Linked DNA regions of Caenorhabditis elegans. The protein of the gene in region 1 interacts with the protein of each later gene in a biochemical or structural test. Each region holds a gene or a part of one and is shown on either strand. Other genes may lie near its edges. The genes, in order: wrm-1 and cdk-1.

Region 1 (6,931 bases):
GAAATGTATTTTTAAGTTTTAACTCAAATAAAGTGTCTGAATAATATGCTTGAGAACCAGTGTAATCGCGATATTGAGTGAGTCCATCGACTTCTAGGTTTTCAATCGAATTAACCAAGTTCTGAAATCCCAATAAAATTTCAATATCTAGGACCCAACGCCCAGAGGAACCACGTGGCAGAGCTCAATCGGGATCTGAGCTAGGAGCCACTGCGCAAGATCCATGCTTCTGTATGCCAGTTTATGTGTGGTTCATCATGATGGCACTCATTCATTGTGCCATTCTGACCCTGCACATTTTGCTTGTCAAAAATTCGTAGCCGTGGTGGTATGTCTTTGAAGTGAGACCGCCTGTATGTATGTGACACGTGGCAATTTTTTTTCAATATTTCAGTTTCTTCTTGTCGGCTTATCCCTGTTCATCATTTGTGCCCCGAATACATTTTCCGTCTTTGCCCACTTCCTGCTTCAGATCTTATTTTGGGTATCCAGCGATCCTCTAAAAAAGTAACAAAATTTTACAATTTTTCAGACTGGCGCCATCTTTGCGCACTGCTACACGTTTTCGAATGGTGTGCACACAGTTGAAACTGGTGGTGATCGTGCTTGGCGCATTGCTTCCTTCATCTCATATCTGATCTCTTCTCTGATTTACATCATAATTTTTGTCCGTCTTCTTGTGTCTTCTAGATGAATCTTCTTGTGTCTTCTAGATTAAAGTCTAATAAATAATTCATATACACGATAGACGAAAAAAAAGGGCCCGTTATCAAATTGTCGAAAAGAGTTCGCACTTGTAATAGAACATGAGATAATTGAGAGATGGTTGGAGAAATGAAGTGAGCAACAAATAATACGGATAGATGGGAAAAAACTAATTAGATTGGGGAGTGATATGCTCCAAATACTGATAATGAGAACAACGAAATGAAGTGGGTATTTGATGTGAAACTACATAAGGGAACATGGGGATGGAATGAAGATAAATATATAATAGCACATGAATAAAACTGGAAGATCGATTTGATTGAGATTGTGTGTCTGTGCACCGGGAGTAGGGAATTCTGTACCCGCACAAAGATTCATTCACATTAGTTGTCGATGATGCTGCATTTGATGCTGTTGATGTTGTTGTGAAACTATTCTCTGCTGATGTCTACCAAGATCGATGATCTTTGACAACATAGTTTCTGAAATAGATCGTGAATTGTAAAAGGGAATTATGGGAATAAAAAATTTCATATTTCAGAATTTATAAAATTTCTAAACACGGTTGTAATTTTTTTTATCGCAGTGATAGAAATGAAGAGGCTTTTAATGTTCTGGAAGTAGCTAAATTTTGCGCCAAAAATACAGTACCCGGTCTCGACACGACAAGCTTTTGTTAAATGCAAAATGGTGTGCGCCTTTAAAAGTCCTGCATTATGAAATTTTAGTTTCTGCTGAATTTTCATAGATTGTTCATAGGTTTTCATAAATAATAATTCACAAAACCCCCAAATATTTCAATTGAAACGTATATTTTTTACAAAAAAAACTATTTATGAAAGCACATATTTGCATTCAACAAAAAGTTACCGTAATTCTTGGCGCAAAATTGAAAAATTTCGCGTTTGTGTATTTTAAAAATTCGTATTTTTTGTTAGTTTCTTCAGAAGTTAAAAACTCACGAATATTCGAATTCTGCCGACGAGCCTTGAGTTCCGCAAAGAATGCTTCAGTCATTTTTGCCTGTTCCAGGAATCTGTACATCATAAAAGTTTGCAGTGACTCGTCACGACTACAAATTGACAAAATGAATGCTAGCCACTCTTGCAGAATACCGTCACTCATCTCATGTGTCAGCCATTGGAAGGGGTTTAGCGTGCCATTTCTGGAATAAAATGAAATTAATTATTTCAATTGTGATTTTCAGTGTAAAAAACTTACGTCAATACTAGCTTCAAACTGTGGAAAAATCTTGGATTTGCCTGACTACAAAGATTCGTTAAAAGTCCCACAGATCGTTTTACAATATCTTCGTGATCTTTTCGTCTGTCATCTAATTCTCTTCTCTGCTCAGCACTTCTACCGTCACAATTCATCATTTCAACGCTCTGAAAATCAATTATAATTTATTTGTTTCTACGAATTTAATTTATAGCTTACAGTTTTCCGCCATTCGTCCAAACTCTGGAATGCTCTTTGAAGCAATAAAATTGGTAGTGGCTCATTTGTTGTTCCAAGTAGATCAACAAACGGATCAGCAAAAGCAGGAACCGTCTCAATGACACGTTTCATTACTGTCACCGCAAGTTTCCTGCACTTCCGATTTCCAACGTTAAAGTAATGAAGGAGCACATATGCGGAGTCGGCATTCTCACTGATCATTCTACACGCTGATACTGCAGATTCTTTGATATCTTGAGGTGCCATAGAAGTCACATTGTTCAATACGGATAGACAATTTTCATAAATCGACAGAATCTGCTTTCTATATAAATCTATATTGGCATCTGAAAAATAAGTAAATTAGAATTTCAGATTGAATATTTCAAAACTAACGTGGCTGATATGTAAACTGTTCAGATGTCCGAAGAACTGCGATCGCATGACTTGTAACTCCATCCTGCACCATAAATGCCTTGTTCATCTTGTTATGAAGTCCAATATTTCGTAGAGTTCCAGTCGCTAGCTCAACAATCGTTACATCCGAACATCCAATAAGTTGAACTATACAATGAATCGATTCTTTCATATCCTGCTCCTGGATCGCTGGCAAATCTGATACTCGTCTCAAACACTTCAGAAGTTCGTGAAGAAGTCGTGTTGATCCATGCGAAAGAAGACCGCACAAAACTTGTGCTCCACCCATTTGCACAAAATGTGTTCCATTCTTAACATCTCCACAGAATACGGTAAGAGCCTGCATCGTTGACCACAACAAATCCTCGTGGATCACTTCGTTCTGCATAATTTGATGAAAGAGGCTCACAACACCAAGACGTTCTGACATATCTTTGATAGTTGCATTTTTATTCGACAAATTCTTAATAATCGATACACAAAGTCCCTTATTCTTTGACTTCGTTTCCGGTCTTCTCAGGTTTCCAATTGCAAATTCAATTACTATTTTGTGAAGACGTCGATGTGCTGGTGACTGTTGAGTCTCATCTTCTCCAAAGAAAATCTTCATGAAATGAGGTTTACAACAAAGATGTACGAGCAGAACCATAGCACTGGACTCGAATTTCGTGTCAAGTTGAATGGCACGTGTCATCACGATCTCATAGATACTGTATGGCTTTGGTACATTGAACACAGGCGGCCCATTGGGATCCATTAATGCCGCATTCAGTCGGAAGAACATCCTGTCGATACGTCGGATTTCCTTGTTGGAGAGAAGAATTGAGTGGTGGAGAATTTCAAACGCTTTCCGGATTACCTACAAAAAATATGGAGTTGTCAAACGATATTTTAATACATCTATATATATTTTTTTTTTTTTTTGAAAGATTTTTTTAGATTTAGATTTTAGATTTTTAAACAATATTAGGCTGTAGGCATCCACTTAGGGATGACGATGTTCCTACCTACCATGAAAACCTTCAACGAACATTTATGCAAAACTTACATTCTCATTCTCAACTGGCCGAGGAATAAGAACTTGAAACAGAGCTCGAATAATCGGTTCGGCTCCTTTAGGTCCCCAGGTTTGCAACATTCCACCAGCTTTCACAATTGGCTCCAAAGCTCGAATCGCTGCTGCTTGATTGATTAGTTCCGTTGATTCCAGATTCTCAATAATCTCGGGAGCTGTCATCGGATACTGTCGATTCGTCGGATCCTGATTCTCGGAAACCTGCGATACACGTGTCAGTGCTCGCTGATATGGTGCCTGATTGACAAAATTGTTGAATTCACCCATTTCAGTGTTGACTGAGAGCATTGACAATCCACCGTACGAGTAGGCGGTCATTTCTGACATATTCGTCATGTGAGACATTGTGGAGCCGATCTGAAATTTGATTTTATTATCTGTTCAAGCCGCGGAATTCTTATAAAAATCTCTTACCACACTCGGAGGCCTCGAAAACCTTTGTTGTTGTCCTGCCATCTGCGGCGGTGCATAGGTACCCTGCATCCAAGCATTTGTGTATGATCGCTTTCCCACAGCAGCTTCCCGGAGTTCTTGCACCCGAGAATTGGACGGTTCCATGTTCTGAGGTTGAGCCTTGAACGGCGAACCTGAAAAATGAAATATGAATATGTGAAAAGAGGTATGTAATTTGAGGGAAGTTTCCAATGGGGAACACATAGACACACGAGACATACGAAAATGGAATGGGGGAAGTGATAAGGTGATGTGATTGGAGAGGGTCGAGAGAGAAAAGGGCGCGAAATGGCCTTTTGGAATATGTTATCGACCAGGAAATTCTTGGATTAATTGTTATGCAAACGAGTTTTTATTCAATCATTCTAGATCAGGGGTACGCGGTAATTGAGCCAGTGTGGCATGTTTTCAGTAGAAAATAATATTTGCTTTATCTGAAGATAACTTTTGTTTCAGTTTGAGAAATTGAAAAAAATTTTCGATGATTTGTCGAAAATTTTGTCGGGCAATTCTCAACTTTCAGACAATTTTCGGAGCACTTTTCAATTATTCCAGCTTAAATGAAAGTAATTCTCAGATTACAATAATTCTTTTCCGAATATTAAAAATCTTAAGCATAAATTGGCCGCTTTTAATCTTTTTTTCGAAGTAAAGCCAAAATTTCATATCTTTCTCACCTGAATATTGTCTGGCAGACATTGTAGAAGACGGCCGAACTGGTGTTGAAACTCTCGATGTTGACGGAGTCATCGGATTGAAATTCAGCGGAGTGCATGGTTGCGAGACTGAAATTTTATTGATTTTTTTAATAATTATTATTTCAAGGGGGAACCTACATGTTTCTGCGCAATCCACATCCATTTCAGATGGGTGGTTGCAGGTCCGTTGAGGAACCTGAAACTAAGCTAAAATGAGAAATTTCGATGTGAGAACCTGAGAAAACGCCATTGATGAGGGGAATAAAGGAAAGTAATCGGATGTGTGTGGAGATTTCACAAAAAAATGAAGAAGTTTCAAGAGAAGTTAAAAGAATTACGAACTTTTGGATTTGTGAGAATTGTATCTAATTCTTGCAGCAACTAGAAAATATTTTAAAAATTGTTTAATTTATGAGTTTTTTGAATCAAAGCAATAGTTTTTTTCTCAATTTTAATATAATTTACAGAAAAGTTTAAAAAATAATTTTTTTCATTTTAGAAAATAACTCAGAATGCTGTGCAAAAGTACAAAACCCCTTTCCTATTGTCTTTCGAGCAACTGCTATTCACACCTTCCAAGTCAAACATACTCAAGTGGACACTGAGCTTTTTTCAATATTGACAGACTTTTTGACACCTTATTCTATTTTTTTTTTTCGAATAGTCAGCCACTTGTAGAAAATTTTGAATTTCTGAAACATTGGTGAATGGATAATAAATGCAAAACGATCGGGGGTAACCAATAAATCAGTTCATATGGGTATATACTCTGTGGGGGGTCAACACTTGAATGCTGTTCAAACAGCAGGACGAACGGCCAGTTGCAAAATGTTTCGGGGAAATTTAATCCGAAAATAGCGGAGAGAAAATTATTCCTATTAAATACGTAACTCACAAAGTTTATCAGTAAGTTTTGCGATGAAAAAAAGATTTAAACTGATAAGAAGAATGGCATCGCCCGTCCGAGAGGAGTACACAGCCGGTGGCCTAGAAACCTCCGCGCCGCGAATCAATACATTTTGAATTCGATTGAAGCTTTCAATACTGAAAGTTAATCTAGTGAATAAATCAAAGAAAATGTGATGCCGTTGAGCAGGAAGTTTACTTCGAAAGGCCACACAAATGTTTTATGTGAAAATTTCTGGATTTGGGATTAAAGTTTTTTATTTAAATTTTAATCAAAACCTTGCGAGTTAGCTCGAAAAAAAGGAGAAGCATTGGCGAATGGATAATATGCACCTGCTCAGGCTGAAGGGAATCAGTGTGTACACGACTCGTAGAGAAAGAGACAACAACCAACTAGTAATCAATCAATTTGACCACATTATTAAATCATCAGGCGTGTCATCGGAGACAAAAATGTGACGAAGAAACATTTGAATCTATGACTTTGAGGATATCAAGTGAGGCGTGAGGATGAGAAGAAGGAAAAGAAAAAATGAAAGCCGGATTTAGGGGAATTGAAAATGAACCGGAAATTGGAAGAATCAAGAGCAGCGGCGAGGAAAAATCAATTTTAGAGAATTTAACATTTTTTTGTGAAATGCAAAACCTGTTTTTTTTTTCTTTTTGAAATTCTGCTAAATTTCAGTTTTAACAAAAAAAACTGATATTTCACTATTTCTGGCCGAAAATCTGCAAAATTCCTCAATTTTCACCTCTAAAAGTAGGGTTCAAGTCAAAAATTGCATTTTTCACATGATTTATGTTGATAAATCGGAAATTTTCAGCTTATTCGTGTTGTTGAAAATCAACTAACTTTGAGTTTTTTGTTTCAATATCGACAAATCGTGTTCTAAATGATTCCTGTGAATTCGGGTACAAATTTGAGAAATTTAAAACATAATTTGGCAAAAAATTTACGAAAAATACAGGAATTTTCAATGGAAATTAAAGGCAGAGAAATAGTCGAAAATTTTGCAGAAAAACCAAAAAAAAATTGGCAAATAAAAGCAACTGTTGCACCTGTTTCCCACGTTTTTCTCCCTATCGCTTCAGAAAACATCTGTCTCCATATGTTTGCATAAGCGTGAAGATTTCGAACGGAAGAACGTCGATTCAAGGACACTTTCTCAGTAAAACGGATTTGAAAGTGATGCCTTGATGACACAGTTTTTAAAATCCACACACCTACGGCTAA
Region 2 (4,084 bases), 4.0 Mb from region 1:
TCAGCAATTCTTTCTTCTCGGTTACAGGCTGTTCAACCATTCTCTCGTGAATCCGGGCACGGTAGCTGCAAGTGGAAATTATAATGACAGCTGGAAAGTTAGAGAAATGTAATATCTTACTTTTGTTTTCGAATCAAAGTTCCGCTTTCAAAAGCTTGTTGCAACATTTTTCGATTTTCTCTAAAATTCAAATACTGCTCAAAATCCTTGTCTTCTGAAATTTCAGATATTCGAGAGAATGAATAAATATTAAACAATACCTTCCCGGTAATAGTTTAAAATATCTTTCCTAGACTGATTCTTCTCATAAAGATCAGCTTTGTCCATCAAAATAGAAACCTTCGAGTGATGAATGTAAATGTTCTAAACACAATTATTTTGATTTATTCTCTAAATTGTATTTAATCCTATATATAGGGATATATCCTACCGGTCCCAATTCTAATTGACGTGCAATTGGAGACCACGAACGATAAGTGAATCCCCAGTAAAGATCATCGAGGAATTCTACAATCGATGGGAAGAAGAAAATTGCAAGAATAATCTTAATAGCTCCAGTTAGATTAGTTTTCGTTACCTTAGCTTACGTGCGAAATGTTAGACAGAGAAATTACGAATATTGGAATCACTGCAGCGATCATTCTTCAGAATGGAAAAATAATAATAATGAATTCTTAATTCCCTATTCTCATTTACACGTTGAACAAAGTGCTTGAATAAAAAAGAGCATGAAAGTAGAGCGAATTTATTTATCGCGGTGTGAAAAAAGAGATTACTCATGAATATCGAAGGGCCAAATAATCATCGTACAGGTAAAAAGTTGAAATGGTGATAGTTAAACAATACACGGAAGACGATAGGTGGTTAAAGCACGGGAGAATAAATAATAAAAATGATGATGAATGAATTACATCAAAAGAGTTCGAGTTCTCCTCGGTAATTTCCAGCTGGCAGCTTTGACGTATCCATGTTGTCAAAATAAGGATGAACGAGAGCTTTTTTCGCGTTGAGACGAAGTGATGGATCGTAGATCAGCAAACCCTGAAAATATTATTTTACTTGTTAAAGTACTATTTTAGAAATCTTACTTCAAGAAGAGAGAATGCAGTATCGTCCAAAAGGTGCTTTCCAGTCTTCTTGTCGTAGAACTTGTCACGGAGGAAATTCTCACGCCATTTTGGGAACGTCGCCTTGTAGTCCGGAAGTGATTCAACACCATTCCATTCCAACTCAGTCGGTGTGCCGAGAACTCTGAAGATGCGGAACAGCTCATCAATTTCTGAATCTCCTTGAAACAGTGGCTTCTTCGTGGCCATTTCAGCAAAAATGCATCCAATCGACCACATGTCTACGCCCATCGAGTATCTCTGAGCACCCATCAGAATTTCTGGAGCTCTATACCAGAGAGTGACAACCTGAAAACCGGACAATCATTGTATTGGTGTACAGAATGAATGCAAACTCACTTCATGCGTGTAAACGCGAATCGGGATACCAATAGCTCTGGCAAGTCCGAAATCGGCAAGCTTGATTGCTCCATTGTTGTCGACCAGCAAGTTCTGTGGCTTAAGATCGCGATGAATAACACGACGCTGATGACAAAAACACATAGCTTGAAGAATCTGGAACAATTATTCTTGTAAAGACATCGATTTTAAATATTTCCTCACTTGGAATGTGTAACTTTTAAGAGTTTCGAGCGGAAGGTATTCATCTTTTCCCAACTGATCCATGTATCGTTTCAAGTCGAAAGACAGGAATTCGAAGATCAGGAAAAGCCGGTTCTCCTGCATAATGACCGCTTCCAATCCAACAACATTCGGATGCTGGAGCTCTTTGAGCAAGCTGATCTCTCGCACAGCCGTTGATGGAACACCCTATAAGAATTATTGTTTGAAAAAACGAAACTGCTACAAAATTCAAATACCTCATCTTCACTTTCCAATCTGATTTTCTTCATAGCAACCATGGCATTGGTTCTTCTGTTTTTGCCTTTGTAGACGACTCCGTATGTTCCTTCGCCGATTTTTTCGAGCTTCGTGAAATCGTTGAGTGTGTAAACCGAATCTCCCTCGTGGGCCACTTCTCCTTCGCGAATAGGATCCATAACTAAAATTGGAAATGAATTTTGTCAGAACAATTGTAATACAACGATAGAAAAGGCGTAAGCGTGTAATTTTGAATCATTTCCACTGCCGCCGAAAAGGGGGGACAGTCGGTGCGAGACCATTGCTTAGTGAAAAGGCATGCACCTTTGATGACAATTTATTCCGAAAAGGAGAGTACGCGCTGAGAAGGATTGTTGTGAAACATTGCATTCATATGATAAAATTTAACGCAAAACTGTGCAGAAAAGAGAATAAATACAGGCCGGAAAATATAAAAATAACTACTCAAAATAATCATAAACTTGATTTGTTCTACTTTATGAGGCTTCCAACAAAACTAAACAGAGTTTCAAAGAAAAATCGTAATCTTGGCTTCGGAGGGTGGATGGCGAGAGTTGCTGCCCCGAAGACCATAGAGAGGTAATTTTTATTATTTAATTTTACATGATGAAAGCGAAATTTGGCAAGTAAGCAACGAATGCATTTTTAGGAAATTATTTATTCAGATAAATCAAAAAATAGAGCAGATTCCTTGAAATCCTAAAAAAGTGAGGACTTCGATTCTGTCTGAAGATGGAAGTTGGCGCCAAATTTTTGGCTGCGTAGCGACTCATTCTTCATTGTGATACGCAGCCAAACAACGTCCTTTCAAAAAAATTCGCGCATTTGATTTTCTCTCGATTTCTATACTTTTCTCAGGTTTGTACAGTGTTTTTCTTGCTAAGATCAATATTTTATTAGAAATGCATCAAATTTCTCAATCAAAACAATTTTTTCCTGCAAACCTTTTTTTCCAAATTTATTTTTTGAATTTCTCGTTGGAAACTAGTTGAAAATGCTAAAATAATTGATAAATCTTTGTTGCAGTATGTCCGAAGATCATCACGACGAGGAGCAATTCGACTCTGCCGAGTCCGGAGCTGCTGCTACTTTCCCGAAGCAATGCTCGGCTCTTCGCAAGAACGAGCACGTCATGATCCGAGGAAGACCATGCAAGGTAAAAAATAATTCAGTGAATTTTCCTAATTAGAAATTTTTTAGATCGTCGAGATGAGCACCTCCAAGACTGGAAAGCACGGACATGCTAAGGTTCACATGGTTGCCATCGATATTTTCACCACCAAGAAGCTTGAGGATATCTGCCCATCCACCCACAACATGGACGTCCCAGTCGTCAAGAGACGCGAGTACATTGTAAGTTGTTAATTAGTTTTTAAGAAGGCTTTCAAAAAAATCAACTTTGGACGGTTAAACAAATCTTTTGAAAAATGAGTTAATCAGCTGTAAAAAATGTTATTGATCAAATTTTCAGCTCATGTCGATCGAAGACGGGTTCTGCTCGCTCATGGATCCAGAATCTTGCGAGCTCAAAGACGATCTCAAAATGCCAGAAGGAGACTTGGGAAACACTATCCGTGAGGCTCTCGAGAAAGACGAAGGAAGCGTCTTGGTAATTATTTCGACATCCACCTTTTGAATCTGAAAATTTTGATTTTCAGGTTCAAGTCGTTGCTGCCTGCGGAGAGGAGGCTATTCTCGGATACAAGATTTCTACCAAGGAATAATTGCATTTATATACAATTTCATAATAAAAGCAGTTCCAGTTTAATCATCCCGCTTTTTATACATCATTCGAAAAACATCGGGCAATGAACAAGTGCACCTCCGCTGGTGTTGTGTAATGTGGGTGTTTTATGTGTCGTGTTGATTGTGATATCTGCTCACCAAACGAAAATGAATTGCTTGCAAACCGCGGAGGTGACATCTGTCCATGGAGTGTTAAATCAGATTCAGTTGTCAGACTTTGTAATCACAGTTCCTAGTTTTTGGAACTACATGGCCTGTGCAGCTTTTCCACCCTTTGTACACTACACCTTATTGCTTATTGAGTTGACCCCAGGTTGGCCGCGTGCCAATAGAGCTGTTCACTTTAAAACGTGTCCTCCTCCGCGACCTGCGAGCACCCCCTTAACCAC

Evidence for each region.
Region 2: of the proteins of wrm-1 (region 1) and cdk-1, one has a biochemical effect on the other in vitro, tested with the Caenorhabditis elegans proteins (one study listed by BioGRID).

What each region holds. Positions count from the first base shown.
Region 1 is NC_003281.10:5,720,906-5,727,836, reverse strand, and holds wrm-1 (Armadillo repeat-containing protein wrm-1), read right to left. Parts: upstream 4,988-6,931; 5' UTR 4,955-4,987; coding exon 4,930-4,954; intron 4,879-4,929; coding exon 4,771-4,878; intron 4,228-4,770; coding exon 4,055-4,227; intron 3,998-4,054; coding exon 3,614-3,997; intron 3,425-3,613; coding exon 2,545-3,424; intron 2,496-2,544; coding exon 2,149-2,495; intron 2,097-2,148; coding exon 1,930-2,096; intron 1,874-1,929; coding exon 1,671-1,873; intron 1,191-1,670; coding exon 1,087-1,190; 3' UTR 722-1,086; downstream 1-721. UniProt on the Caenorhabditis elegans protein: Antagonistic role in the Wnt signaling pathway that operates in embryogenesis. When located at the cortex it has been shown to inhibit Wnt signaling during asymmetric cell division but when relocated to the nucleus it shows positive regulation.
Region 2 is NC_003281.10:9,745,497-9,749,580, reverse strand, and holds cdk-1 (Cyclin-dependent kinase 1), read right to left. Parts: upstream 2,110-4,084; 5' UTR 2,108-2,109; coding exon 1,928-2,107; intron 1,878-1,927; coding exon 1,671-1,877; intron 1,623-1,670; coding exon 1,467-1,622; intron 1,416-1,466; coding exon 1,089-1,415; intron 1,042-1,088; coding exon 913-1,041; 3' UTR 729-912; downstream 1-728. Other genes in the region: T05G5.4 (uncharacterized protein), read right to left, coding at 1-65, 121-214, 261-363, 431-544, 588-641; iff-1 (Eukaryotic translation initiation factor 5A-1), read left to right, coding at 2,428-2,528, 2,976-3,105, 3,150-3,302, 3,421-3,558, 3,608-3,673. UniProt on the Caenorhabditis elegans protein: Plays a key role in the control of the eukaryotic cell cycle. Required for entry into S-phase and mitosis. Acts as a component of the kinase complex that phosphorylates the repetitive C-terminus of RNA polymerase II.